Oryzias latipes: one gene and its partners. The protein of the gene in region 4 purifies or fractionates together with the protein of the main gene of each other region. This does not show direct contact. Links are inferred from orthologs where the notes say so. Each region holds a gene or a part of one and is shown on either strand. Other genes may lie near its edges. The genes, in order: snrnp70, u2af2, snrnp200, prpf19, eftud2, bcas2 and cwc15.

Region 1 (4,144 bases), on a different chromosome or scaffold from region 4:
ATGTATCAAACTCCTTACAGAGATAATCAACTGCATAGATTCAAACAAACAAACAAACAGAAACAAAGACACACTTAAGACACATTTAAATATAGTGATTATTAACTAAATAGTCAAGTAGAAAGTGATTTAGTGCTAGGAAAAAAAGGAGTTGGAAAAAGCAAATTCATATAATCTCACTCCTATTGAGTTATTTTGTGTGAGAGTTTTGCAGTTTTGGATGATAACGCTCCACCACATGCTGCCAGAATGATCACAACCAGTCTCTAGGCTCATATGGTCTGACCAGCAATGACCCTTGACCTGAACCCCATAGAGCAGGTCTGGGACCAGCTGAAGCAGAGACTCTTTTGTAATAAAATTAAGGGTATTATATTAGTTTAATCTGTGTTCCCCCACACTTCAATACAAAATGTAAAGTACGGTAAAACCAAAGAGCAATATAACACATGCACACTCTGACATGGTAAAATATACTTGGATTTGTTCAAAACAAAAAGGGTCTTGGTTACTTTATTTTTTACATAAAATATGAGATTTCCATGTTCATTTGTCATCCAACATAACCCCTAAAATTTAAATTCAGACACCTGCTCTATATTTATGTTGTCAATGGATAAAGCCACTTCTGTTTTTTCTTTATTACCAAATACCATAAACTTTGTTTTTGTTAATTATAATCAAACCACATTTTAAGTTTCATTTCCTTTTTAACACTTTTAAGTTAGGGTTTTAGATTATCCCTGAACAGAGAAATTTGTCTTCATGTCCAAATAAAACAAACTGCAACAACTTAGAAATACCCCAAACATTTATAATTGAACCTTGTGGAAGTCCACAAATAATATTCATGAGATCAGACTTATTACCTCCAAACTGCACATACTGTATTGTCTGTTTTGTAAATAACTGGTGGGCGATTGCTCTAACCCCATACGCATGCAGTTTAGAAATCGAGATAGAATGATCTATGGTGTCAAATTCCTTCTTTAAATCAATGATAACTTTTAATGTATTTTTCTTTTTGTCAATTGCTGTTGAAATTTCTTCAACTACTTTCATTGTAGCAAAACCTGTAGACCTATTAGAACCAAACCCATAGTGATTCTCACTTAACAAGTTATTTATTTTTTTAACAAAAAAATAAACTTTTAACAATGTCAAAGGAAACTTATATTTATTTCAATAAAATTCAGAGCAAAATGGGAAAAATCACATGGAAATCACATTGTCAATAATAAACTCATTGGACGGCGTCCTGACGTCATCACGTAAGTTACGTCAAAAGACGTACGTTCACGCGGCGGTCCCCCCCGCCATTTTATATTTTCAACAGGCCGAGCAGCCGCAGTACGCAGCCAGCTATCTCCACGTTGTTTTCAGCTCCATTTCCAGCATTTTTATCTTCACGGAGTCTCTTTTTGGCGGTTCTACGTTGAGCCACCGAACCCGCGGACAGTCCCGCTCCTCCTTCAGGTCCATGAACTAAAAGCTGCTGGACTCTGGAGGAGAGAAGGTGAGTGTAAGGGCGCAGTTAGTGGTTAGCTCCATGCTAACGGGAGCGCTACATCCCACGAGCGGAGCAGACGCCTCCGGCTGCCTCCGGACGGCCAAACTCTTAACTTGTACGCAGACCATAACGTGTACTACTGTGGGAGGGGGTTCCTGATGTTCTACTTCTGGATGCATGAAATGCGTTGAACGCGTCCCCCGTCCTGTGGGGAAGTGAACAATAAGCGCGTGAAGCTAGCTAGCTAGTACGGGTATTACGGCTAGCTAGCTAGCTAGCTAGCTGCCCTGACAGCTAGTTTCGCTGCTTCATTGTGTTGCGGCAGATCCGTGTCTGATATCATGCATGTTTTCCTTATCGATCAAGTGAAAGATGACGCAGTTCCTCCCGCCGAACCTGTTGGCCCTGTTCGCCCCCCGGGACCCGATTCCGTTCCTGCCTCAGCTGGAGAAGCTGCCCCACGAGAAGCATCACAACCAGCCGTACAGCGGCATCGCCCCCTTCATCAGACACTTCGAGGTGAGCGTCGCTGTCACGTGCGAGCCTCCGTCCCCCCGATGCCTCTGTCTCACCTTCCTACTGTTTCCCACCAGGATCCTAGAGATGCCCCCCCACCAACCAGAGCCGAGACCCGCGAGGAACGCCTGGAGAGAAAGGTGAGTTTCCTCCCCCCTTTGCACATGTGCTCAAATACAGAACCTGATGGATAAATAAACGGTTTATCTCTGCTTTCATCCAGAAGATTTCATATTTGCGTTTGTTTTGCTTTATGGCAGCTGGCAGTAGCACAGATTCTGTCACATCAACCCAATGAATCATGGGAGATGTAGTAAACTCTGTGACACTGATGCAAATCTCCGGGCTTCATTATTGGATGCACTTTTTACACGGTCTGACACCGGATCCTGCTTGAAGCTACACTTCCACCATTGTTAGCTGGTATTTTGTCAGGGTGAGGAACTGGGGGTGTTTTACAAACTTTTTCCAAAATAAGAGCCATTGGCCTAAGTTGCTGCACAGTAGTGGTGCAGACATTTTTTTTAATCAAAGTGTCTTAAATAGGAAGTAAAAGTCTTCTGTGATCTGTAGTACTCCCAACTGAAACCTGGGCGTATTTCGATGAACGTAGAGCTAATATTCTGGCGATGGAAAATGTTTTTTTTTTTAGAACAAATAGGTGAAATTGAGTAATTTCTCATGGCACACTCAACCATCTCTTTACTATATAAACCTCTAACCTGATCCTGTCTGTGCTGCAGCGTCCACCAGTCGTTACTGTTTGGATCTCTGATTGTGCTGCGTAGATAACGATGGAAGGCATGTATACAGAAAATTAGGATTAAAATTGCATTTGTTAGTATTGTTGTTTGAGAAACTCAACGCCTGGATAGCTCCTTTATCGCTCGCCATTTTTGTTGCACAGATAATGTTATGTTGGGGTTGTAACGTTTCAGTTGAGCGTCTTGAGCCATAAAGGAAATTTATTTGTGAACTTGTGAATTGACTGAAGCAGGAGTTTGGCTGTGAAGCACAGACCTAATGAATGCAGATTCTCAAAGGAGGGGTAGTTGAATTACAGTCCTAACTCCTTCATTCAGCATTTTCTGCCTCGGTGAAAACCTCTCAAGTCTATAGAAATATTATACCAGGCAGGAGCCCAGCACAGGTGCATGCTGGCAGCAGACAAGAAACCAAGTGCGGGATTATGTCAGCTCTGTGCTGATGCTCTGCTGTTGGAGGCTCTGCGGTTGGCCGTCACCATTTTCTTTTCTGTTTCCAGAGGAGAGAGAAGATTGAGAGGCGACAGGGAGAAGTGGAGACAGAACTGAAGCTCTGTGAGTTTGTCACTTTCTTCACGCCGTTCTCCTCAAACGGTGAAAAGCTTTGTGCTCATCCTTCCTGTTTGTTCCATGTCAGGGGACCCCCATAATGACCCCAATGCTCAGGGGGATGCCTTCAAGACTCTGTTTGTGGCACGAGTGGTGAGTATTTGTCTTGGTTCTTCTCACTCCTTGTTCACATCTGGTAATTAAAACCTTTTTGTTTCAGAATTATGATACGACAGAGTCCAAACTTCGCCGTGAGTTTGAAGTCTATGGCCCCATTAAACGGGTAGCTATTGATTATTATTTTTCTGTGTCCAGATTTTCTTCAAAACATGAACCCTTTTGTCTTTACAATGTGAGAAAATTCTCCTGGCTCTTCAAAATACTATAAAAAAAAGTAAAGAGCCGTGCGTGAAGCGTTTTGGCGCCGCTTTGTGCGTGTCGTCGTGCGCTGACTGCATGTCTGCTGCCTCCGCTCTGCCGAGTCTCACCAGGAGTTTTTCTTTTCAGATTTACATCGTCTACAACAAGGGAACAGGGAAGCCCCGCGGCTACGCCTTCATAGAGTATGAGCACGAGCGAGACATGCACTGTGAGTACGGCTGAGGCATCGGCCACCAAAGCCAGTCTGTGTTGGTGTGTGTGGATCAGAGCACTGCTCGTCACTGATGCTTCTGTAAGGAGACCAGCAAACTGAGCTCTGCTCACCAGATCCATGTCTGCTGCTCGTCTGACGTGTGTGTGTGTGTGTGTGGGGGGGGGGGTCTGCTCGATGTGTCGCCGGTGGACTAACAGTTGCGTTTAAAGG
Region 2 (4,145 bases), on a different chromosome or scaffold from region 4:
CTTTTCACTCAGAAGAAGAGAGCAAGTATTTACACGCTTGTCAGAATCAAACAAAGAAAACATGAATATTTCAAGCACCAGTAGCTCCAACTGGTGCTTGGTTCGGGGATATTTTAGAATGTCCGTCATTATTGCTTCGCGGCTGTGTAGACGCTACTTGGCGTCTATCTTCTTCGCTGGTATGTGTGCTCAGCAAGGCAGTTTTGTGTTTGAGCGCCCCCAAGTTGTGTTTTACTGTAACTTCAGAAGCTCCAGACACGTGAGCAAAAGTGCCATTCTCATTGGTCGAGTAGATTTCGACGCGACGCGTCGCGTCGAAAAAAAAACGAACCCGAGGCGTTTTTTTTTTTACGCTTTAACGCGTGCACGTTTTTTCGTGCCCTTTGTTTAGTCACGAGGCGTTAAACGTCGGCGAAAATCGCCGGCGAAATTCGTCCCGGTGTGAACAGGCCTTTAGCATGTTATGTGTACACATTTGTGAATTAAATACACTGGAAACAGATAAGAGTTACCTTGCATGGCTTTGTACTGCATGGGAGTGATATGCTCAAAACCAGGAGGAGGAACATCCCAATACTTCTTGATCTTCTTCTTCTTTTCACGATGGGGAGATCGGCTGTAAGAGGGAAGAAAAAAAAATAAACATTAGGAGAAAATGAACTTTTTTTTAAAGAAGGTTGCATCGATTTCAACATAGTAAAAGTGACAAAAAAGACAGAAAAATGGACAATACCCAAAAACAAATTACTTGAACATGTGTAAATTGTCTTTAAAGTGATAGGAGTGTCAATGTACAGTTTCTGCAACTGCCAGCTTTGTGTTAAGTTTTCTGTTACCTTGCAGTATTTTCTTGAGGGTAGGCGGGTGGCGAGCTGAAATGACAAATTGGAGGAAGAGATTTAGATTTCTTATATGAATCAAACAAACTTTTTGAGTTATGATTCATAAATAAAATAAAAAACACTGCATTTCCAGTCACACTTGAATATCAATGCACTTCAAAACAAACAAGTGAGAATTCTCTTCTAATTTCAAAAGAAGTAGGGAAAAAAAAACGAATAAATCAAATGAAATCAAAAGCTCATCAGAACAAACATACATAACTGGTGCATTTGTGTGAACAATGTAATGATGCATGTAGACTGCAGACATTACAATAAAGTTAATAAAGAGACTTAACGTTGCCATGTTATTGCTGGACAGTTGATAAGAGATTTTACACATAACAGCTTGTTTTTAAACAGGAGGATTGGTGTAGATGTACTGACTTGCGCCGGTGTCTCCGCTCCTTACTGTCCCCACGGCGGTCCCTGCTGCGTCTTTCCCCGCCATCCCTGCTCCTCTTCTTCCTCTCTCTGCTGCGGCTGCGGGATGAAGAACGACGATGGTGCCGGTTTTCTTTGTCCCTTTCTGTGGCAAAAGAGCGGTGCTCAGTAACTATGAAGTATAAAAGTATAAAGTGTTTTTCATTAAAACAAAAATCTTCTTAAAAAACATAACCCCAGAAATATTGTTCATAAAAGCAAATTAAAGCGAGCTGAATTTAGACATGTTCTCGATGTTTAATTTTAATTTTCATAAATGGTCTTACAGGTATGAACACAAAGTGAAAAGATAAATCAAGTAGTAATCAAGTAGAAGGAAAATGTGCATAAATGAGGTTATTTCTCTTAAAAGTACATTTTTATGTTAATCATGCTACAAGACGATGCATCTGCAGATAGGTGGGAAAAAAAGGAAGATAAAAGAGGAGAGTACAGGAAACCAGCTATATTAAAGAAGCAAGAATTTGTATCAGTAGCATAAACACAATATGAAACTGAAAGGACTATTGCAAAAACTGCAGTAGAGAATGTATAAAGATAAACAGTTGAACTTGTAAAAAGGAACTATCGAGCACGAGCGGCTGAATGATAATTCAATGACAGAAAGCACCGCTTAAATATTATTACACGCCACATGAATCGGACATGCCATAATAATACCACGATGGAGTTCAAGATAATACAAAATTGAAAACATTTTAATGTTAATAGCATTATACAACAGTACCGAAAGCCAGATTACAGGAAAACATCGATAAACTTGTAAAGCTGCGTTGTACATTTAGAGGCTATTTGATCATAGGCCAGTTAAACAGACACGTCCGCGACGTGCTAACCATAGAGATAAAAATGACATGTACCTCTTTTGCAATCATTGTTAATTGTGTAACTAGTCCATTTACCTTGATGGTTCTCAGACAGTTGTCTTTCAAATTCGTCGAAATCCGACATCTCTGGATAGAAACCTACTACGCTTTCGAAGACTGCGTTGTTCGGTTGGCGGAGGCTAGCTTAAGCTAGCAAGAAAGTGAGCACTTTGAGATTCAAGCGCTTCAATGATAGCGCTTCGGAAAGTTAACCTCGGTTAGCAAAAACACGGCTCAAAAACAAACCTATCAAACGATAGGTGGTATCACACACATTAGTGACGTGGTATTTGCTCAAATGTAACACATACAAATACGGAAAAAGGAAAAACGTGCTCGCTTAAGTTAGCCCGCTAACGCCAGCTAACTAGCTTGTAGCAAAGTCCAGAAGAAAGGCCTGCTGCTCCACACCGCCGAGGAGGCTCAGCTGCTAGCTAGGCTACGAAATCCGAATAAATGAGACTATTTTCGAAGCCCAAAGCGAATCCAGCTTAGTCACAGGCCCACAATATGTGTTTATGTGACGCAATAATCCAAATCTTTACGCCTTCTGCTGTTTTAAGTCTACAAAAACAGCAAAGATTTTGTTGTGCCCGCTTTTTTGCTCCGACTCCCAGATACCCCGTGACATCGGAAGTTGATGAACGCTGCGTTTCCGGTAGAAGAACGTCGTGTGGTTCTGGCTTGTGTTTGGAGCTGCATGGAGACAATTCTGTGATTGAATTCTGATTAAAACAACAGAACACCTGCATGTGACTTTCTCTGTAATGGTTATTGGGAGAATATTTCTAAATGTATGAACTTAAAAACGACGTGTTTCAGTTAAAAATACATGTTAATATAGTTAAATATCCAAAACTTACTGTAGATTTTAAATGTTATGCTTAAAGCTTTTGTGTTTCAATCAACGGTCATTTACACAATTTAATTAAACAACTACAAACTGGATTTTAGTGATAGATCCTTAAGAAAGATCAACACAAAACTCAGCCCTAAGCACTGCGGATAGATTCAGAAGAATTGTCAGCATCCTGCTGTATACTTTGAATGATTTACGGTTCATCAAGCAATAGCCCATTTTTTACACACAGACAGGCAGGACAGATCATGTTTAGATGAGCTCTATCAGGCCCTGTTATGCAAAATATTAATTTCTTAGAGTTCGTCTTTCTAGTAGGGATGTAACGATTCATGGTGTTTATTCATATCATAATTCATGTTTGCTGATATGATTCATAGTTAATATTGGTTCATTTTGAATGATCTGAGTTGATCCGATTCACTGGCCTAAACTCGATCGAGGACATCTTTAGCCAAAAATTCAACCAGTGATACTTAGAGATAAACACCTGGAGACTGAACGGTGCAGGTGAAGTTTTCCAGATTCCTTCTATTTCTTGCAAGATAATCAAGTGTAAAAACAAACAAACAAGTAAACAAGAATTAATGGAAAATCCATTCACATTTTATTTTCATAAAGTTCATCCCACTAATGTTTTTCCACATCAAAATAATCCAAAGGGAACATTTTTAGAACATTCTGCCACGCTGTATGGTCACATGTCTTTGCATAATTCAAAGTGTTTCGTCACATTGAACTGTAATGATGGATTGATCATTTTTTGCTGCCATCCTGTGTGAGTGTTGTCTGCTGTGATGGCAGTTGGTCGTTTTGGCGTTATAGTAAATTAAACGTATTCACTCCTTTACCAACAACATTTCATAAATGTCAAATAATAAGCTGTCAGTGCTTTGCAATTCCTATTTTGTTGTCTTTTTACATACAGGTGACGATGTGTCTATTGCCAACTTCTCATCAAAAAATATCAGCAGTAGCTCCCTCCAAGGCAAACACCTAAACTTCATTATTGAAGGAAACGCAAGGAAAACAACTTTTCTGCCTTTTTTTTTTGTTGTGAACGGCGTGCTGCCGCCTGGTATCACTGTCTTATAT
Region 3 (3,573 bases), on a different chromosome or scaffold from region 4:
CCGGTATTTTACATAGTTCTGCGCATGTCAAAATGATTTATTATGATCAAAAGTGTGCCATATGTAAACAGTTATAATCGTGTACAGATTTCAATTCTAATCTGATCTTTGATTCGATTAAACGTTTTGCACACGTAACCACAGCCAATAACTTAATGGAACATTTTTAGCTTATAAATCATCGTTGTTTAAAAAAAAAAAAAAAACAACACCAACATTAAAAAGAAGACAAAAAGTATAAGAGGGCATGAAAAAGTCTGAAACGACAAAAGAAAAGTCTTGCAGCACCTGTGTAACATAAACCATGTCTGCCATGAGAGCAAAGCCTTCAAGTTTGAGTTGAGAGATGAATGCTTGCAGCAGGACGTTAATCTGAAACAATAAAGTGGAAAAGAATTATTTGAACTATTTTGAAATAAAATTACAAGTTGATAAAAACTCACAAACAAAAGATAAAATAAAATCTAAACTCTCTAAAAATGTATAAGAAATTCTGAAATGTTGCTCAAATTGAAAGAGGTTTGTCATGCGTGTTACCTTGGCACTGGGTTCCTCAATGCTCTCCTTCACTGGAATAGGAACTCTCTCCAGTAGCTTCTGAAGCTCCAGTTTTTCTTCCTAAAAGAAAACATTTCTGTAATTATCCCACATGTTGTAAATAACTTCTTGGAGGGCGGAAATTGAAGGAGGTCTGACTTTCATGAGTGGACATACCTCTCTCACATTGATGTTCTTAAACTCTGAGGAAAGTGAAAAGACTCTGAAGAGCTCAATCTCACTGAGAGTGGGTTTCAGGAGCTGGTTGTAGGTCTGAACTGAGTCATGAGTGATATAGAAGTGACTGGCAATGCGTCCCAGGTCTGTCACCTTTAAACATGCAACAAAAAATACCATTAGAGTCTTCTGGTCAGACTTTTACCAATTTATTTCCACCATAGAGGTGCTTAAAGGTTTGCTCAGCCCAGCTCTGGATACCTGGAAAGCGCCTGTCCTCTTGTCATATTTGACGAGGCTGTTCTTGTCCAGGACATTGGCTGCTGTGTGAATCAGGTCCATCCTGCGCCTCTCCAGAAGCGGGTCTGCACTTCGGTCATCCTGGGAAATTCCATAAAGGGTGGGGTTGCGGAGCATACGCACGTACAAGTAGGTGTAGCCGAGCCAGTTCACCGCATCCTGACACACGAAACAGTAAAACAAACCATTTAAAATGTTTTTTAAACGGTCTTTAATTTTCTGATGCAAGTCCACCACTCACCTTCACGGTCTGAACATTGCCTAGAACAATTTCTGCGTTTAGCATGTCTGGTAGTTTTGCCACCATCTGACTCTCAATAGGAAGCTGCTGGTTGAGCAGAGACAGATAGTACTGCAGTTCTCCGTGGGACGTGATCAGGATTCCCTCCCCTTTGGTGTCATACTGGGGACGACCAGCCCGACCAAGCATCTGAGAAAAAAAGGACATTCACTTCAGTTATTGTTGTTGGGGAGTTGTACAAACTCTGACAGAAATGGTCATCCATAAAAACTAAACCTCATACAGACCTGCAGAATATCCAAGGCTCCGAGCTCAGTCCATCTGCCTTTCTCCGGACTATAAACTTGGGTTCCTTTGATGATGACAGTATGGGCCGGCAAGTTGACGCCCCATGCCAGAGTGGCTGTAGACACCAGAACCTGAATGTGCCGATCTGAAAACAGATCCTCCACCAGGGTACGGTCCACTCTGGTCATACCAGCGTGGTGGATTGCAAAACCATACGGAAGCAAATCCTTCAACTCCAGGTTCTAAAAGAGAGAAGATAAATCAGCCACACCAATCCAACATTCGGGGAAAGAAAACAAAAAAGTGTGGAGCCTCAAGATACACTCTTACCTTGCATTGCTCGGCCTCAGTTCTCAACACTTCAGTGGATGCAGAGCCTTCTCTGAGAAAGAGACCCAGAGTGTCCTTCTCCAAGCACATGTCCCTTATGGCTCGGGCCGTCTTGCCCGTCTCCTTCCTGGAGTGAACGAATACAAGCACCTATTGGGAGCAAGTAAAACGTTAAAAGTGATAAATTGGAGCCAGGATTTAAAGGAATTTCAGATTAAAATGTTTGTCTCAATGACAAAAAACAAACAGAAAGGCGCACCTGGTTCTTCCCAGCATGCTCCATGATTTTTTCATAAACAATCTCGTTCATGATCTGGAAACGCTTGATGGCTTTCTTCTCTGTGATGCCAACATAAGTCTGCTCCAGGGGCACAGGGCGGAAACTACAAACAAAAATAAAAAAGCACAAGAATTGAGTTAAGAGAATACACACACATGCAGTTTCTGCTTTGAAACAAACCTGTTGTCAAAGTAGAACAGTCCCTTTGCAGGATCCACGCGCAGGCACGTTGCCACATCTTCGTAGTTGGGTAGTGTGGCACTGAGACCCAACAGGCGGACATCGTCTTGGGTCAGCTCCACATTGCGAATGGTCCTTGCGATCAGGGATTCCAGCACAGGACCACGGTCATCGTGCAGCAGGTGAATTTCATCCTATATCGAATTATTTTGGTTATTCTGATTGTCAAAAATGAAATGAATAATACCTTTCTAAATCAACTTACAATGATGATGAGGCGCACTAGCTGAGTGTAAGTACGTTCTCCCCCTTTCCGAGTAATGATATCCCACTTTTCTGGGGTGCAGACAATGATCTGAGTGGCGTTGATCTCCTCTTTACAGAGTTGGTGGTCTCCTGTCAGCTCAGACACGGTGATGCCGTAACTTGCCAATCGCTGCAAAAAAGGAAAGCCGTCACCTCTAAAACCCTCTCCTGAAGCTTGCGATACTCCTTGATGCATGAAATCAACGCTTTTAAGGAAGGGCATGCAGCTTACCTTACTAAAACTTCCCACCATCTCTTGTACAAGCGAGCGCATGGGTGCAATGTAGATGATTTTGAAATCGTCCACGTTGATCGTGCCGTCCATGTTTATATGCTTTCCAATTTCTCTTAACATTGCCATTAGGGCAACATTGGTCTTACCAGCTCCCTGTACACAAAACAATACCAGGATTAATGTTGACAACGGAGTTCAGGATGACTTTCCCGCCGCCTTTGGCTTGTGCAGGGCTCACTCACCGTGGGAGCACACACTAGAAGGTTTTCGTCTGTGTCCATTGCAGACTTGAACAGTTTACTCTGGATTCGATTTAGAGTTTTGAAACCTTCAAACCCAGCCTGAGCATACTTGGGCAACTTGTCGATGGAAACAAGTACCTGATGAAAGATAAGCAACCAAAATTTCAGACACTGCTGCGTTTAAAAGATGAAAGTTTTGTACTTAACAACAAAAGACGCAACAGACGAACCTCGTTGTCAGCGAAAGCTTTGGGTTTCAGGGCGGGAACGTGAACTTCTTCATAACCTTTGCGCTGTTTGCGAAAAGAGCCGTCTGGGAGCTGGCAGCGTTTGTTAGCCATGAAATGACTCCCCTGGGTGAAGGTCAGGTCTTCCAGGTCCAAAATCTGTCGAGGCATCACTGACTGCAGGAAACAAGAACAACACGAAACTCTTGATGGCATCTTCAGAGAAAACA
Region 4 (4,142 bases):
TCACAACGCTGCACCTTAAACAGCCAGTTTTCATAAAGTCAAAACAAAAGCACACAAAATCACCTAAAACTAAATCAACATTAAAATAATGACACTTTACCTGTGAGCACTTTGTTGGTGTCAGAGGGACACACATCCAGAGCCAGAATACCAGGCACACTGGCACTATGCAGACCCTACAGGAAATATCAAAGTCACACCACAAATATGAAGCAATCCAAACAAAAAGTTACATCCTCTGGATTCTCCAGAATCTCTTCTTACAGCGTGGGAAGCAACTTGGCGGTACTTGCTGAGATCTTCAGCTCTGACCAAATCCTCTGGAACAGTTTTTCCTCTCTGTAGATAAAAAAAAAACACAGGGTGAACTGGGCGCTACCAAGACAGATAAAGACTCCACAAACTGTTAGGTTGTAGTCAATACTGCACCTTCTTTCTCTCTGTGGTGAGGATGGTCGCCTTGTCTTGAAGCTGCAAACACACAACAACAGTCAAATAGACCAAAGGAACAAAATCTTTCTACAAACAAACTTTACAAAGTAGAATGGTTTTTAAAACTAAAGAAAGCCGTACCTTCTGAATGATCTCTGGGGTCATTCCCACCTGTTCACTGATCTCCATGGGTTCTCCACCAGCACCCTGAAACACAATATTGACAGTTATTAGACAGATGAGTTATGAAAGTCAATACAAAGCCTTTTTTTTAAAGGAAAATAATTCAATAAATAAATCAAATTTTACTGCAGCAGCTGGCTGAGAGGCAGGGACTGCTTGAGGGGCCACCAGTCCAGCTTGGGGTTTAAGTGTAGCAAGAGCTGGAAAAAAAGACAAACAAATGAGCCAATTAGACAACCCCAATTATGAATAAACAAAACACACTCTTCATTCAAAATCACTTTGTAAGATAGCATTTGACGCAAACTTCACTGACCTTCTCTTGCAGCAGTGACCTCTTTGTTGAGGCGGGCGATGACTCTGCAGGCGGCATCGTGCTGGTAAAGGGCATGAGAGAGTTCTTGGCGAGTCGTCTGCAGCTGCTGCCTCAAGGTGAAACTATGAAGCATCACAGCATCCTAATTCACAAAAGAAAATGGGTCAGGTTACTTTTACCAGAGAATCTCTCAAAATCCACTTCGGGTCGTTTTGAAAAGCGGATTCCAGAAGGAACCCATCACATCAAACGCAGATCATGACGTTTTGTTTGACCAAAACACATTCTTCATTAAATAATGACAATTCCACTGACAAGATATGATCCCATTCTGCCACAATTGTAAAAATGAACTGTTATTCATATTTTAATGACTAAAAACATTGTATACGTTGATGCTACTTACCCACTCGTCTTGAAGTGACTTGAGAATGGCAGGAATGCTAGTAGCAGATGGAGCCTTTGGTCGAATAGGATGAGTAACTACAAAGAAATTAAAGCAGACATTTTCTAAAGCCGTATAGAATCACTGTATCCACATTAGGTTTTCTTATCATGCAAAATCAACTTTTTGAGCTTTAAGTGAATCATAATGTTAAGCCCTCAAGAAAAACGACCCCAAAGCCATATTTTGATCCATTGACGAAGCTCTGAGCATTCCTCTAAACCCAGACCCCCCAAACCACCTTTTATATGCACAATACATCCATCTTTACAAGTTTGGATTTTGTTTGTTTTTGTGGGCGAAACGCAGACACACTGGCGAGGCCAGCTCTAAGTTAACAAAATGAAATGGGCGGCAACCACAAGGAAGGAGCGAAAGCCAGTGCCTCAGAGATCGAAAGTCTTACCTCCAGGTAGGAAAAGGAGCTGAAATAACTAATATTTCATAAATAATTTGTTCTTTAGTGTTCCAAAGGTAATATATGTCATTTATATGGATATAGTTTACTCTGAAATGCTTAAGAAAAGCATGATTATAGGCCCACTAATTAAGTGTTGCAAATATACTACAACAATATTTTTAGGTTAGGCGTGTGTGTCAGTGTATTAGTTTTTGTTTTTTTACTATAGATATTTAATAAATATGTTATTATGACCTTCTCTATTTTTTAAAAACAACAAAAAAGTACTTTTCCCCCCCACACCATTTGTTACTGCTGTTTTTTGATCAACTTTCTGGCATTTTTTTTTAAATACTTTGTGAAAAATTGTTTTTCCAATAGTTTTGGTTTCATAAATTCGTTGTTTCTTTGCTTAATTTTCTTATATATTTATTTAAATTTTGTAAATTGACGTGCTTTAGAGATGCAATATGTTATGAATGATATTTGCTTTTTAAGACGAAGGTCTTGAACCTGCGCCATTATAGGCTGATGTGTCGTTTACCTTTGATATCCACAAGCTGCTCCTCGGACAGGGGCTGTCCGTTCATCGGGTCCGTCCCATTCTCAGCGATGTACTTCTCTATCAGTCTGCGCTCGAACACATGGTTGGACACCGGAGAGATGCACGGGTGCTCTGGAACCTCGTTGCAGACTGAAATAAAGGTGTGGCAACCGCTTGAAAGACTATTCTAAATCAGTAAATTCTTTTTTAAAAAGTAAATAAAAGCAACAAACATAAAATGAACGGAAGCAATTCCATATAAAAGGCGGCATTGATGGCCGCTAACTGCTACATTAGCTAGTTACTAGTAGCATTTGCGTGGCGCCTCGCTAAACACACACATTTCAAAGGTTTTCACTTAGCTTACTTGCACAAACCAGAGACATGTTCCCAACGCTGTGTAAATAGTCTCCTCTGGAAAGTAATATATGCTTACTCCAACCTTGTGTTTCGCTAGTGTGCACCGATAATGACTGAATTGAAACTAAGAAAAGCTATGCCCTTTCATAGCCTCAATAAAATGAGCCAGCTTCTTCTTCTTCGTGAAATGTCTGCTAAACGCAATTCGAACGTTGTCTCCACACTGCCCCCTAGTGCTTAAAATGAACAATGCGTTGGATTACTGTGTCTAGCAGGAAACTAGTAATCTGAAACTAAAAATTGGATTACGTGTGTTTAGATAAAACGGATTTATTGTTTACCACGTGTTTATTTTAAATTTTTGTTATAGAAATATTTTATGTTTTGTTCATGAAGTTCAAAGGTTAGCAGACCAAATGGAAAAGCACATTTCACAGCACTTTACAGTTGCATTGAGTTGAAAGGAATGACACCTGCAACAAATACTACACTGTTACAGATAAGATCATAACTAATTCAATAATTGTTGTTTGGGTTATAAATGTATTAACACTGTGGAAGAATGTTTAAGTGAGTATGAAATATATATATTTAGTGTCAATACTCTATGCAGCTCTAGAAATAATACAACACTTGCAAACAGGGTGACACTCAGTAAACACAGTGCAGATAACAGTGGCCCTGAGGGTCTGGAGGTAGGTAACAGCAAGAGATCTTAAGAGTACAATCCACCACTGCAACATGAGACAGAAAATGCAATGCTAAATTCATGCATCCAAAGATTATGTTTACCAAAATATTTTGAACTGTAACTTGCATTGAGTAATGTCCTTCACTGTTATTTGTTCATTCTATAATGTCCTTCTTTTCTCATTTTGGCACCTGTTTTATAAAAAGTCCAGTTTCTCTGACGTGTAAACGCTGCAGGATTCAGAGGTGTCTGTGTCCAGTGGCAATGTTGAAAAGAACTCTGAGCTCCACCTTTTTTCATCTCCATCCTTCTTAATCTGGTACTGAGCGCAGTCCTCAGAGGAGTGGAGGCAGTCTGTTGCTCCAGGCACAGGAAAGGAAATCTTCTCTTCATTCTCATTCACTTTGTTCTCCTAGAGGGAATTCAGGGGGTGGGGGGTGGGGGGGGGGGGCACATGGGTAGTTTTTATTTCTTTTGATTTTATGTCAACATGAGCCAAAAAAGGCTGACAGAGTTTTACCTCAGTGCTTCTGTCATGCCTGGGCGAGACCCCAGCTGTCCGTTGCTGTACTTGCTGGTTTTCAGAACTTGGTTCCCCTATCGTGACAGGAGTGTAATCCTAGAAATGAAACCCACATGTTCAAACACTCAGTTCTATTCAGCTGTTTAGGCTTCTGTGATTCCGTTCATTGGTCTTACAGTGTGAGCAGGGCTCGCTCTTGGGCTCCACTTTCTTGGTGTTCCAGGATGCTCAGGGTAACTGTAATAAGC
Region 5 (4,024 bases), on a different chromosome or scaffold from region 4:
CTGCTGTGCATATATTTCCATTTCATAACTCACCTCTTGCTCTGTAAAGAGGATGTCTGTGTACCGGAGCTTAAAACATAGAAAATCACGTTAACCTCAAACCATTCAAGTCGCAATTCAGTAGAATCATTTTCACATTTTTTTGTAAAATAAAGGAAAAACGTACATCTACATCATCCCTCTTCCGGATTTCTGGGTGTGTCTGCTCAATCAGACAATCTACAAAACAAGTCTAAAAGGAAGAAATGGGTTTGTTAGATTTCTCTGAGGCAAACACAAAATGTAAACTCACAGAGTTTAAAGTCAGAAGCCTCTGTGAGGCAGCGCGGTCTAACCTTGCCATGATGAAGGTGACCACAGAGTGTGACATTTCGGATCAGCTCGGGACCATCCATTAGATCTGCAAGAAATCTGCAAAAATGGGGAGGAAAGAGAAAATATCTTTAAGTACAACAAATATAAACTATCATGAAGACAAAAAAGAGAGAAAAAATATGCAACGTCTTTAACTTAGCAGGAACATTAGGAATCCATTGAGATTCTTCAGAAGAAACTCACTCCATGTCGTAAACTGTTGCAGGCAGCTCCTGTTCCATCAGAGCAAAACGCCTGTGCTTCACCGGCTTGATGATGGGCTCTAGAAAGAACAAAAAGACAAAAATGTTCTTGTGTTAAAGAGTTGCAATAAAATGCAGAGCTCCTGTTTTCCAGCTATGAAGAAGTAGTTTCAGACTTGATCAGAATCAGATGTTGCATACCAATCAGGGATCGGATATTTAACCATTATTTTGATTAGCACTATATATTTTAAGCTTATTATTTCAACTAAATGCTCTTCTAGAAGTCTGCATATCACGAAAGGATCACAACGTTTTGTTGCCGTGAAACACAGCAAAATACAACAAAGGTTTGAGTAGGAGGTGCACAAAGACAGTTCGTTAAGTTAGCAAAATATTCACAGATTTGGAGTTTGAGCTCAATGACTTTTAATAAACGTTTAAAACTGAGAGCTAATGTCTCTATTGGTTCACAGAACCATGACAAACAACTACCTGCAAGGGCGTTTAAAAATATTGGGGATTTTTTAAATGTGCCCTTTAATGAGAATTCAACGGAGAGACGACTGCTAAGGGAGCGTCTCCAAAGTGCAAGCTGCAGGAGAAGGTGATCAACAAAACAACAAAAACTCCATAATCTGTCAAAAACAACCAAAACGAAATGACTGTTACGTGGGTATGGATCATGAATACACATCATTATTTTAATGCTGAAATAATGATTTTGGAAGAAAGCCGTTCCTCATTTTTAGGATATTTTAATGGATATGAATCGCATCAGATCAAAAATGTTCATCTGCTCGGAAGCAGATGCTGAATCTACGGTCCCCAAACTTAATCATTTAACCAATTATTACCTATTTTTAATAATAAACAGTTAACTATTTTTTAACTTATTATTTAGTTATTTTTTTCTAGTTGATATTTGCATTTTTTTGCTTGATTGTTCAAGCTACTTCACAAAACTGCTCTATTCAAGTGTTACTACAAAAAAATTGGGGGCAACCGGGATTTGTTTATTATTATTATTTTATTTTTTATGTTATACAAAACTATTTGATCAGCAGATTCTCAAAATAAAAAGACTCAGAATCAGAACAGGGTCAAACAAATAACCTTATCTGAACATCCCTAGGAAAAATGTCAGCTATAAAGAAATATTAGGAGTTGATGATTTGACACAATTTGTGAATAGAGCCCAAAGTTTTTTATTACTATCCCTGAGCTGAAAGTCAAAGGTTCACTTTACCTGTTAAGGGTTGTGTGTCTTCCTCTTGGACAATAGTTTCCACCTCTGGCCCATAAACCTCTTCTGCAGTCGGATAATACTTCTTATCCTCATGGAGGACCACCTCCATGCCTGGGGTATCATCCTCAGCATCTGCAGGCTCATCTTCATCATCATCATCACGCTGTAGAAGCAGATGCACAAATGAATGCTCAGGAAACCTATACATTTCACAAAACTAAGAGGGAAAGCCAAAGAAACCTCATCTAGATCTCTGTCCTCTGCCTCCACGTCATCTTCATCATCATCAGAATCCAGCTCTGGACCGATGTAGTTCCCAAACTCGTCATACAGATCAGCCTCCATCTTCAAATATCTAAACAATTACAAAGAAACACTAAAACATGTATGTAACAACAACAAAATGGGTTAAAAGTTTTGAAAGCAATAGGAAACCCTAATTTGTCAGACTAGTTAGTACGTAGCAGTGATCGTAGCGTTTTAAAGCTTGAAAACTCTCAATGGGTAATTAAAAAAATAGAACGTATCTTTTTAAAGGTTTAACATCTCCAACTGTATTTCAAATATTTGCAAAATACGTTTATTTTTTATTTTCACTTAAAAATAAAAAAATAAAAACATTATGAACCGGTTGTGGCCACAACAGCTAATGCTAATAAGACCGCAATTTGAACATTTAAGCGACTCCTGCATTTAGATTATGAAAAAAGTCAATCAATTGATGAAAAGTTTCGGATTTTATCGTCTTTGCGAAAGTTTATTGAGCTTTCTCGATCCACGCAACAAAAAACAAGTAACCAAACTAGCTAGCTAGCGTACAAATGAATGGATCAACGTCTGAGATACGTCACACCGTAGACAAAGACATAATTTGCTGAGACCACACATAAAGCTGACTGCACTTACCTTTATTTAAGGATAAAACTACTGCAAAATATTTATACAGCACAAAATAAAACCCTGTTCTGAAATTAGGATAAATTATTGTTCGGTTAGCGCCATGCGCATGACAAACTACTGCCGCTTTTCTTCTTCTACTAACACGTCACAACACTTGAGGATCGCGTACGCCCCCTAGCGTATGGATGTTTTCAAGCGCCAAACCAACAGATCCAATCAATCAAACCTACTCCTTTTGTAACTTTACTAGTGTTATAATATGCCGCTGATAATGCAGAAATCTGAGAATGTAAAACGCAAACATGCTTTGAAAATGTAGATGTTGCACTTGCAGCCACTGTGTGCAACAAGGAACTTGTGTTTGGTTGAATATTTTTTAACACTCCTTGGTAATGAATTCTTGAGTGCTGAGCCTTTTATTAGCCCTTTAATCTTTGCCAGATTTGAAATAATTTAAAATATAAATTCCTTGGAGTTATTATTGATGGCAAACTAAGCTGGAAAGCACGTGTTAGATATGTAACTCATGTGACATATTTGTAACTTATTTTAGCATATTTTTATTACTGGATTGAAGTATGAAAAACAGGAATTCAAATTATTTACAAAGCTAGCTTGATCACAAATACAATGTATTAGGCCTTTAGGCTATAGTCAAAAGAACTCAAACTTTGTGATTTGGCAGAATACACTGCAGCTCAAATATGTCCAATGTTCAAAGCAGAAAAAGAATTAATAACAAAAATGATACAAAATATTGCAAACAGGTCAAAAATTACACATTATTCATATACCATTGGCTGCATGTGTGACGGGTAAATCACCCCTCCAGCAGTCTACTGAGTCTAGGTCTCATGCTCAGGTCTCGCGGAAGGCAGATCGTGTGAGGGGGCCGGATGCGTCTCTGGAGAAGCGATTGTCCCTTCTTGCAGATCTCCCTATGCGGGGAGATTCAATGAACTGCGGATTTGCATGTTCTTTGCGTGGTTTATTCATACTTCTTCCATGGTTTTAACGTGGTTCCTTCGTGATACATCTGTGAAAGTCTTCTGCAGAGACTACAACTTTTAGTGGCAAAGACCACAACTTGTCTTACTTTTTCCACGTATATTCACACATGACATATAAAAACTGGTCTTATGTGAATAAACATGGAAAAAGTAAGAGAAGATGTGATTCTTTGTGAGAAAATTTCACAGCTCTATCATGATTTTCACCTTTGGACAATGTGCAAATTGTACTTAGCGGCAGTGGGACACAACCTTAAGCCAAACAACATTCAATTGCTACTACGATTGTCTCTTATCTGACACTTTGG
Region 6 (3,728 bases), on a different chromosome or scaffold from region 4:
GACATTCACTGAGGACACTGTCAGTTGGGGCCTTGAGCTTGATGTGTATATATATATATATATATATATACACTAATTAATTTCAGGATAAAAGCACCTCCATTGCAGCTTTACTTCCATTGTGAGTTAATGTTTTGTGAGTTTTTGGGTTGTGAGTTAATGTGTTGTGTGGTAAGTTAATGTGTTGTGAGTTAATGTGTTGTGACCTTTCTGTGCCACTGACCAACAACAAAGATGAAGACTCATCCAGGAAGTCATGGAAGACGCTGAGACTTTTGAAAATGGATCAGCACAAAATGCTGCAGATTTCTGAGATCAAAGTTCAGTGGATGTACAGAAGACAGGGGATCTGACACAAAACCGCCTCACTCTAGGCCTCAGACTTTAGGTTTCACTGTTCTTCAAGAGGGATGAATGACAAACCATCCAGCTGCTCCCATCTGTTAGCTTCCAGCTCATCAGCTGCAGCTCTGAAGCTCAGAGACTTACAGGTAAAAGACTGAAAAAAATAACAATGTGTATGAAACGTTCATTTTATTAAAACGATAAAAAACAAAAGTTGAATCAAAAACAGGATTTTTTTTCTCCACCACAACTTAGAAACTGTACAACAAGCTACAAAGACATCGATCATGTCGATCGATCATGAGTTTCAAACCATGATTTGTGTGTAACTGAACACAAAAGACCCAACGGTTCCATCAGAGGAAACCGACGCCTTTCAAACATCATCCGTCTTGGAGTCGAGTGACCCGCTACGCTCCAGCAGTCATCGAGTCGTCCAAACCAACCGAATCAGATCCATCCAACGGATCCCGGTGAGGTGACTCCTAAAAGTCCTGTCGGATGTTCTCCTTGTTCTCCTCCCCTTGCTGCTGCCTCAGCTGAGCCACCTCGTTCTCCAGCTGGACGATGGCGCGCTCGATCTCATAGTTTTTACTGACCAGCGACACCCAGCTGGCGGGAATCAGAACCAGAGTCAGACATCACCCCTCATCCACGAGAACACCAGAACTTAAGAAGAACCTACTTGGACTCCAGCTCTCGCAGCTTGGCGCCTGCAGCCAACTGATCGTTTTTGCGCTGCCAGTTCAGGTCCTGGATCTTCTTCCTGCCGGCATAAGTTCAGAAATGTGTAACCATGGTAACCGTTGGATCTTTTCAGGCATGTATGATCCAATCCTCAATCACCTGAACTTGTGGAGTTCCTTTTGAGCCAGCTCAATCAGGAAGGCCAGATTGCTGAAAAGGGACAACATTAGCTTTGAGTCTTCAGAAGAGTCAGACACCAAAGGGTGAGACCCACAGGCCGCCACTCACTCGTTGTAGACCTTCCACGCGTTTGTTCCATAATGCGACATGAGCTCCAGGTTCTCGATCCGGATGGCCTGGTGCTCCAGCTGGGCCATGGAGTTATTGACACACTCCTGCCAGGCGGTAATGTCGTTCTTCTGTCCCGATGTGGGGGCTGGAAGCTCATACCTCCACAGCAGAATAGAATCGTTCTATGGAATCACCCTAAACTTTCTCTTTCTTTTACATTTACAGAAATATTGTACAGACAGACAGAGTGTGTTTTTTACCTCTTCATGCTGAGGAGGTCCATTGGTTGTCGAGCGGCTAATCGCTCAAACTCATTCCTCATGATTTCTGTCTGAAACCCAAAACAAAACGGGAAAGGATTATAAACCGGTTAGCCAACCCAGACTAGGAATCAAGTTTCAAATGTCTGCAGGTTTTCACCTCAAACGGCGAGAACTCCGGCATGGGCAGGTAGCTCAGGTAGTTCTTAGTTGGGCGATACCTTCTGGTCTCTTCTTCCACCAACGCAGCGGCCTGAAGGGCCAAGTACAAATGATTTCTCTCCATTTTTCATACAAACATGATTTAAAAATGAGCCACAACCCCTGATGATCTAACATGTCAACTTAGTGTCACCAAACCCTGGTTCTCCAGATCTGCCGGCTGTTTCAAACCCCTCAGCTGTTGTTTTACCCGATGAGGTAAACAGCAGCTTTGGCTTTGAAGGTTTTCATCCTAAATTATGAACTTGTATAGTTTCAAAGCAGAAACCTATAATGACAAGATCTAAAGAAATATACAGGCGATCATAATAATAATGGTTTGGCCAACTATACATTGAACGGCGCGTTACCATGCGGCATCGCTAGCTAACAGTTCTAACTAGCTATAAGTTAGCTAGCTTTTAAAGCAGCATTCTTGTTTACCCACCGCTTCTCTGACACCTGGTGCGTCATAACCTTGATCAAAATACGGCAACGCATCAACAAACACTTCGCCAGCGACCGAGGCCGTTCCAGCCATGTTCGCTCCCCAGTAAAAAAAAATAAAAATAAAGAAAGAAAGTCCTTTTCTGCTAACAGACTCCAAACGGCTAATCAGAAACTTCCGTTTCCGGTCAAAACTTTCCGAAATAAAAGTCTCAACGGTGTTGTATTAATCGTGATTGTCGCCTCTTGCGTTGAGGAATGGAACTGCAGCTTAGTAGATAGATAGACAACTTTATTTATCCATTTGGGAGGTTCCCGCATGGAAATTGACATCTCCATCGCATACAGCACTGGTTGACATACATATAGGAAAAAGGAAAAAGCAGCACAGTGACTAGAAAAATGAGGAAGATTAGAACAGTAAAAAACAATTTAAATATCTGCAAACAGTATATACAAAAAAAAAAAAGTGATTCAGGCCCTTTCCCTTTCCTTTCTGTCCCCCTCCCCCCTCCTAAGTGGTTTGATGGCCCGGGGGTGGTAAAGAGTTTGATGGCCCGGGGGACAAAGGAGTTCCTCAGTCTATTAGTCCCGCACCTTGGGAGGAGCAGCCTCTTGCTGAAGGTGCTTCTCTGGCTACCGATAGTCATGTGCAGAGGGTGGCTGGTATTGTCCAGGATACCTGTCAGTTTTTTCAGTGTCCTTCTCTCTGCCACAGTAGCCAGACGGTCCAGCCTTGTGCCAACCACAGAACCAGCCCGCCTGATCAGCTTCTCCAGCCTGGAGAAGTCTGTCTTTGAGGTGCTCCCCCCCCAGCACACCACAGCGTAGGTTATTACACTGGCGACCACAGACTGATAGAAGATCCCCAGGAGCTTCTTGCAGATGTGTAGTGTAACAAACTTCAGGTTTCAGCTATTACTGCACTACAGTAAACCTTTAAAGAGTTTCATATTAAATTTCAACAAATAAATGCTTTTTTTATCTTTCTTTTGTTGTTGTTCTAAAAAAATATATAAATAGCTTTTTCTTCTGATACAAATGTGATCAATCTTGTAAAAATACTTCATCATCACTTCAATATTTTTTTTTAAATAATGTATATAAAATTATAAGTTTACGTTGAAGGCATTTCATCTTAACAATACAGAAATAATAACCAAGAGTAAATAGCCAAGAAAGGGGAAGTACTGGTATGTGTATGCATTATAGTATGTAGGGCCGCACAATATGAGGAAAACTCGCTATATGCGATATTAGTGATCAATATTGCGATGAAGATATAACTTGCAAAAAATGAACAAATAGCAAAAACAACAAAAACATTTCCATTTCCCTTCAAATGTTTAGTATAAATAAGAGTCAAAATACCTTAAATTTATCTTCCAAATGACCCTCGTCTAATTAGTAGGGCAACATCTAACGTAAGAGCTCCATCCGATTGGTCAACAACGTAAAGGGCTATATCTGATTGGTCAAATGCATAAAGGGATTTAG
Region 7 (4,241 bases), on a different chromosome or scaffold from region 4:
AACAGATTCTATTTCAAGGCTTTGTACATCAAGAATCATATTTTTCCTTGATTATTAAAACATTGTGTTTGAACAAAGTCATGCTGCTGACTGTAAACACAGAGGTACCAAAACAAAATGGATCAAATGTTTTACTTTGCGTTCTTGCTCTTCGGCTCGCTCCTTCTTTATCTTCTCAAGCTCAGCCAACAGAGCTGCAGTGTCGTCATCATCACTATCTTCATCAGAGTTCTCATCCTCGTCATCCTGTGAAGAGGAAGGATTTTAGAGAGGATTAAGGCTGCAATGGCCTCATGCAGCACAACTATGGCAGAATGGTGACAGCCCCCATGCACTGCTGACGTTCTTTTCCACTGTTTAATGACTTTTAAATAAGTTGACATTTTCAGACGTATTCTCAATAAAAGACATTTACAAGAGAGTACATCAGTCTTTATTTGTAGTGTGCACACTTGGACACTTTTAAGTCAGCTACAGTTATCAGTTTAACTAATGCCACCTTGTTGGAGGTACCAGTGCTGGATGTGTTGCTGGTAGCTGTAGATGTGGATGAGGTTCAGCTTCAGGAGCTGTACTGTGGGACCGACCATAAGAGGCAATGCAGGGAGTTTAGCCTTTAAATACACCAGCCTGGCATTTGGAGAGCCCCAGTCTGCTCAATTTTTCCAGAGGAGGAACAACGGTCATATTTAAATCAAGTTTGTTTGCCACACTTTTTAAATTTTGTGTACATTTTTTTTCTTGAATGAAAAAACTAAGTTTTAAGTTTACCCACAATTGTTCTTTTAGGTGGTCTGATCAGCTAAAATTAACCACAAATGAACCATCTGGGATGTTTCAAGTTTAATGTGTCCAAAGCAGAGAAGTTGTACAAAAGAAATTGTTTGTTAAAAGTCAACTTTACAGTGATTTTTCCCCAATTAAGTCAATCCAGGCATTTTATTGCTAATTTTAATATTTACAGTCTTTAAAGAGAAAGTTTTATAGCACTAAAATATCAATATCTATTCAGATCATGTCAAGTGCAACAGCGAGAAAAGGTCTCATCTCCCAGCCGTAGGTGTACTGATGAAATGTTTTCTTTATTATATCAGTGCAGACACTTACATCAGTGAGAGGGTCATCAGCATCAAGGTTAGCAGCTGGAATCTGATCCAACCTGGGCCTCTTTGATGATGATGAAGATGATGAAGAGGATGTAGTGTGTTCTGGAGAGAAAAAAATGTAAAGACTGCATTTACAGAAAAATACATACTTTGCTTGGTTTATACTTGTGTGTCAAAAACAGTAAGTCTAAAATTTTGATAGAGACTAACCTCTTGGTCCCCTCTCTCTGGTCTTCTCACGTGCTGCTACACGCTCCTTCTCCTCCAGTTCCCTACGGAAATCACGGGCACGCACCTCCTCGGGGGCATCCTGAGTGGGCTGTCTAAGGGATCATAGCATTTTCAAGACTAAGTCCCACTACAAACTCCAAAAACCACTCATGAGATAAATAGTAACATGTACAGTTGGGGGAAAAAGTATTTCTCAGTAACATATTTAGCAAATTGTCTAATTTAAAAAGATGAGAGGTCTATGATTCCATCATATACACTACAACTGTGAGAGATTGAATGCATATTAAAAAAAAATATATAGCGAAAATTGTAAAAATATTTTTTGTAGAACTTGCACAATTGGTAAATGCAAACCACCCCTCCTACACACTGTAGCTACAATTTAAACATAACCTGCAGCAAACAAACCATCAAGAATTATCAATACTAAATGATGTACTCCAAATGTACAAAAGCTTTATGGTTATACAATTTAGTTGATAACCATTTTAATACTGAGCAATGACTTATTAGATGCAAGATATTTGTGAGCAAATTATTTAACATTTTCTTAAGGGTCATGGAGAGACACTAAATAGACAAGAAAATGCACACATGCCCCCCCCCCCCCCCATGTCATAAACTGATTCATGTGATGCTCCAACGTGAGGTTAGCTTAATTGTACCCAACACATTATACATGTAGACATTTAATCAAGTGTAGATTTATGTTCCACTTTTTAATAATTATAGCACAAAAAGACTAATTTAATCAATCCGGTTTGACCATTTCCCAAATAATTCAGATTGAATCTTCGAGAATCTTAACATGATTAAATATGTTTCTTTCAAACAATCGCTTTCTTTTTCAACTGAGCTGTCGCAGCAGAGTTTAATAGGAACTAAAAACCACCTGTATTTGATCTTGGTGTGACCTGGAAGATCTCGGCTGGAATATTGCTTGGACAAGGCACTCAGATCGCCTTCTCCTTTTCCTCTCCCTCCTCTCGCCGGCTCAAACGTTGGTCTTGCTGCGGTAGTCATCCCTAACCTGCTTCAACAACAACACGGTATTTGTCAAACATGAGTACAGTTATTTTCAGTTAGCTACTGTACTTTAAACGCAGAACAAACAAGGTAACATCAGTTGTATATAACAAAACATATACATACATTTATCGATTAAACAGACTTTAATACTTATAAAGGGTATTACTAGCCACCAAATTTGATTATGCTAACACTCAGACAAGACAAAAAACTCATTTTGGGCTCTTTAGAAAACTTATTTGTTTTAAGATTCACTGCACACTAATCAAACGAGATGTATGGCTACATTTATCATATTTATACCGTTTTAACAAAAAAACATCTGTAAAAAAACGTCTTTGACTTGGAAAAAATACTCACGATTCCACTACACGGCTAGCGGAAAGAGGATACCATAGAACGTCACTTCCGGATTGAAATTGCTGTTGCGCATGCGTCAAGAATACGATTCTGTTGGTGCGTTTAAAAAGAATTGGAAAATGCATTACTCATTTCAAATGTAATCTGATATTTATCGTAAAGAAATTACTATATTGTACCAAAGGAGAAAGAATTAGCACAAAAATGCTTTGTTACACCTTTCTTTTTCAAAATGCTGTGGTGATATTCCAGGGTACATGGTTGAATTCTAAAGCATTACAGCCAAAAATGTCTATTACTGATTTCAGCAAACCAACACTCACATTTAAAATGAAAAACATATAAAACCTTTGAGCACTGGTGTAAACAAGGAAGTGTTTACGAGGAGTCATCTTGTCTCTTCTTTTGAAGTAACCGGTAGAATTACTGTAGAAATGTGCGATTAGGGTTTGCAAAACATTTTACGTGGCCACCATGGGGCAATGTGCATCAGGTTCAGTGTCTTCCTGTAGCTTAATTTCTCCACTCAAAGTGAACATTAACATCACAACATGATTTTTAAATATAGTTTATTCCAAATTGAACACATTATTTTTAACTTTATTTAACAGTCTTGATACGTAGATTCTATTAAACATAATTGAAACACTTGTAACAGATGTAAAATTCCTGTCTTTTTCCATTTTAGACCTGATGAGTCTTCATCCTTAGGTTTTGAGATGTTCTTCTCAGATAATATGCCTTCCTCTTTAAAAGGATGTTTCTCTGGATTTGTGCCGTTGGACTCTTTGCTGCCTTTGGCTTTAACTTCAACTACAGAAACACTGGTTTATATTTGTTCAGTGTTTGCTGTTTAAGTTTGATGAGTTTATTTTATTCTTTTCCAAAGATATATCAATACATAATTGTGAAAATACAAATCTAAAACACCTCTTAGGCTCAAAAATACACTCTTAAATGAAAGGGAGAAGAGAGAACATGATTTGCCCCTTTTCCCCTTAATACTGAACAATATTTGGATTGCACCAAACTTGTCCCTCCCCTCCAATGTTTTAAGAAATGTCTGAGAAATGACAAAAGTATTAATCAATTTATAAATAATTTAATGAAAATCAGGCATAACTCTGGAATTTTTGTACAATAATTAACTAGTGAAATGACTGGACAAAGTATTGGTAACTTAAACTTCATATTTTGTTTTCTGTGCCTTTCAATTAGAATTCTGCACCTGTTTGCAGACATTTTACCAACTTTTTGTTAAAAAAAAAAAGCTTCATTTTTAGTGTGTTTGGAATGATTGCTATGCTGGAAGAGCCAGCTATGTTCTGACCTCAGCATGCTTACTCTAACAAATGCAAGAGGTGTTCATACCAGAGTTCCATTTGGATCTAATGACATTCTCCCAATACTCTTCTGGATCAATCAGATGATCTCTGGCAAACTTAAGACGGCCTGGACCCGTGTTCGTTTAAGCGGGGGGATCTTTACCCATGGGGACGTACTTTGTTACTA

What was found.
Region 1: the proteins of prpf19 (region 4) and snrnp70 fractionate together in Homo sapiens (co-fractionation; 3 studies listed by BioGRID, with this or other methods). This does not show direct contact. The link is inferred for Oryzias latipes from reciprocal best matches to the Homo sapiens genes PRPF19 and SNRNP70.
Region 2: the proteins of prpf19 (region 4) and u2af2 purify together in Homo sapiens (affinity purification with western blotting; 3 studies listed by BioGRID, with this or other methods). This does not show direct contact. The link is inferred for Oryzias latipes from reciprocal best matches to the Homo sapiens genes PRPF19 and U2AF2.
Region 3: the proteins of prpf19 (region 4) and snrnp200 purify together in Homo sapiens (affinity purification with mass spectrometry; 3 studies listed by BioGRID and IntAct, counting the BioPlex papers as one, with this or other methods). This does not show direct contact. The link is inferred for Oryzias latipes from reciprocal best matches to the Homo sapiens genes PRPF19 and SNRNP200.
Region 5: the proteins of prpf19 (region 4) and eftud2 purify together in Homo sapiens (affinity purification with mass spectrometry; 3 studies listed by BioGRID and IntAct, with this or other methods). This does not show direct contact. The link is inferred for Oryzias latipes from reciprocal best matches to the Homo sapiens genes PRPF19 and EFTUD2.
Region 6: the proteins of prpf19 (region 4) and bcas2 purify together in Homo sapiens (co-immunoprecipitation; 10 studies listed by BioGRID and IntAct, counting the BioPlex papers as one, with this or other methods). This does not show direct contact. The link is inferred for Oryzias latipes from reciprocal best matches to the Homo sapiens genes PRPF19 and BCAS2.
Region 7: the proteins of prpf19 (region 4) and cwc15 purify together in Homo sapiens (co-immunoprecipitation; 4 studies listed by BioGRID and IntAct, with this or other methods). This does not show direct contact. The link is inferred for Oryzias latipes from reciprocal best matches to the Homo sapiens genes PRPF19 and CWC15.

The regions. Positions count from the first base shown.
Region 1 is NC_019866.2:24,779,986-24,784,129, forward strand, and holds the start of snrnp70 (U1 small nuclear ribonucleoprotein 70 kDa), read left to right. Parts: upstream 1-1,311; 5' UTR 1,312-1,516; intron 1,517-1,876; 5' UTR 1,877-1,882; coding exon 1,883-2,029; intron 2,030-2,103; coding exon 2,104-2,166; intron 2,167-3,290; coding exon 3,291-3,345; intron 3,346-3,427; coding exon 3,428-3,492; intron 3,493-3,559; coding exon 3,560-3,622; intron 3,623-3,846; coding exon 3,847-3,928; intron 3,929-4,144. UniProt on the Homo sapiens protein: Component of the spliceosomal U1 snRNP, which is essential for recognition of the pre-mRNA 5' splice-site and the subsequent assembly of the spliceosome. SNRNP70 binds to the loop I region of U1-snRNA.
Region 2 is NC_019874.2:19,813,315-19,817,459, forward strand, and holds the start of u2af2 (splicing factor U2AF 65 kDa subunit), read right to left. Parts: upstream 2,852-4,145; 5' UTR 2,277-2,851; coding exon 2,228-2,276; intron 1,438-2,227; coding exon 1,269-1,437; intron 873-1,268; coding exon 837-872; intron 617-836; coding exon 513-616; intron 1-512. UniProt on the Homo sapiens protein: Plays a role in pre-mRNA splicing and 3'-end processing. By recruiting PRPF19 and the PRP19C/Prp19 complex/NTC/Nineteen complex to the RNA polymerase II C-terminal domain (CTD), and thereby pre-mRNA, may couple transcription to splicing.
Region 3 is NC_019867.2:18,372,831-18,376,403, forward strand, and holds part of snrnp200 (U5 small nuclear ribonucleoprotein 200 kDa helicase), read right to left. Parts: intron 3,521-3,573; coding exon 3,347-3,520; intron 3,255-3,346; coding exon 3,117-3,254; intron 3,028-3,116; coding exon 2,872-3,027; intron 2,770-2,871; coding exon 2,599-2,769; intron 2,528-2,598; coding exon 2,334-2,527; intron 2,257-2,333; coding exon 2,133-2,256; intron 2,024-2,132; coding exon 1,874-2,023; intron 1,786-1,873; coding exon 1,543-1,785; intron 1,445-1,542; coding exon 1,256-1,444; intron 1,174-1,255; coding exon 976-1,173; intron 868-975; coding exon 715-867; intron 619-714; coding exon 538-618; intron 373-537; coding exon 289-372; intron 1-288. UniProt on the Homo sapiens protein: Catalyzes the ATP-dependent unwinding of U4/U6 RNA duplices, an essential step in the assembly of a catalytically active spliceosome. Plays a role in pre-mRNA splicing as a core component of precatalytic, catalytic and postcatalytic spliceosomal complexes.
Region 4 is NC_019868.2:15,898,496-15,902,637, forward strand, and holds the start of prpf19 (pre-mRNA-processing factor 19), read right to left. Parts: upstream 2,871-4,142; 5' UTR 2,707-2,870; coding exon 2,688-2,706; intron 2,471-2,687; coding exon 2,321-2,470; intron 1,415-2,320; coding exon 1,338-1,414; intron 1,074-1,337; coding exon 932-1,073; intron 816-931; coding exon 742-815; intron 640-741; coding exon 574-639; intron 472-573; coding exon 430-471; intron 340-429; coding exon 265-339; intron 177-264; coding exon 101-176; intron 1-100. Other genes in the region: uncharacterized protein LOC101174031, read right to left, coding at 3,568-3,783, 3,892-3,990, 4,071-4,142. UniProt on the Homo sapiens protein: Ubiquitin-protein ligase which is a core component of several complexes mainly involved pre-mRNA splicing and DNA repair. Required for pre-mRNA splicing as component of the spliceosome.
Region 5 is NC_019866.2:5,489,188-5,493,211, forward strand, and holds the start of eftud2 (116 kDa U5 small nuclear ribonucleoprotein component), read right to left. Parts: upstream 2,867-4,024; 5' UTR 2,713-2,866; intron 2,183-2,712; exon of another isoform or gene 2,162-2,182; 5' UTR 2,152-2,161; coding exon 2,047-2,151; intron 1,970-2,046; coding exon 1,807-1,969; intron 638-1,806; coding exon 559-637; intron 412-558; coding exon 336-411; intron 233-335; coding exon 167-232; intron 70-166; coding exon 34-69; intron 1-33. UniProt on the Homo sapiens protein: Required for pre-mRNA splicing as component of the spliceosome, including pre-catalytic, catalytic and post-catalytic spliceosomal complexes. Component of the U5 snRNP and the U4/U6-U5 tri-snRNP complex, a building block of the spliceosome.
Region 6 is NC_019865.2:942,921-946,648, forward strand, and holds bcas2 (pre-mRNA-splicing factor SPF27), read right to left. Parts: upstream 2,430-3,728; 5' UTR 2,326-2,429; coding exon 2,233-2,325; intron 1,837-2,232; coding exon 1,744-1,836; intron 1,655-1,743; coding exon 1,584-1,654; intron 1,483-1,583; coding exon 1,321-1,482; intron 1,243-1,320; coding exon 1,192-1,242; intron 1,112-1,191; coding exon 1,031-1,111; intron 958-1,030; coding exon 831-957; 3' UTR 518-830; downstream 1-517. UniProt on the Homo sapiens protein: Required for pre-mRNA splicing as component of the activated spliceosome. Component of the PRP19-CDC5L complex that forms an integral part of the spliceosome and is required for activating pre-mRNA splicing.
Region 7 is NC_019872.2:16,000,736-16,004,976, forward strand, and holds the start of cwc15 (spliceosome-associated protein CWC15 homolog), read right to left. Parts: upstream 2,830-4,241; 5' UTR 2,730-2,829; intron 2,374-2,729; exon of another isoform or gene 2,371-2,373; 5' UTR 2,364-2,370; coding exon 2,233-2,363; intron 1,430-2,232; coding exon 1,317-1,429; intron 1,209-1,316; coding exon 1,108-1,208; intron 247-1,107; coding exon 136-246; intron 1-135. UniProt on the Homo sapiens protein: Involved in pre-mRNA splicing as component of the spliceosome. Component of the PRP19-CDC5L complex that forms an integral part of the spliceosome and is required for activating pre-mRNA splicing.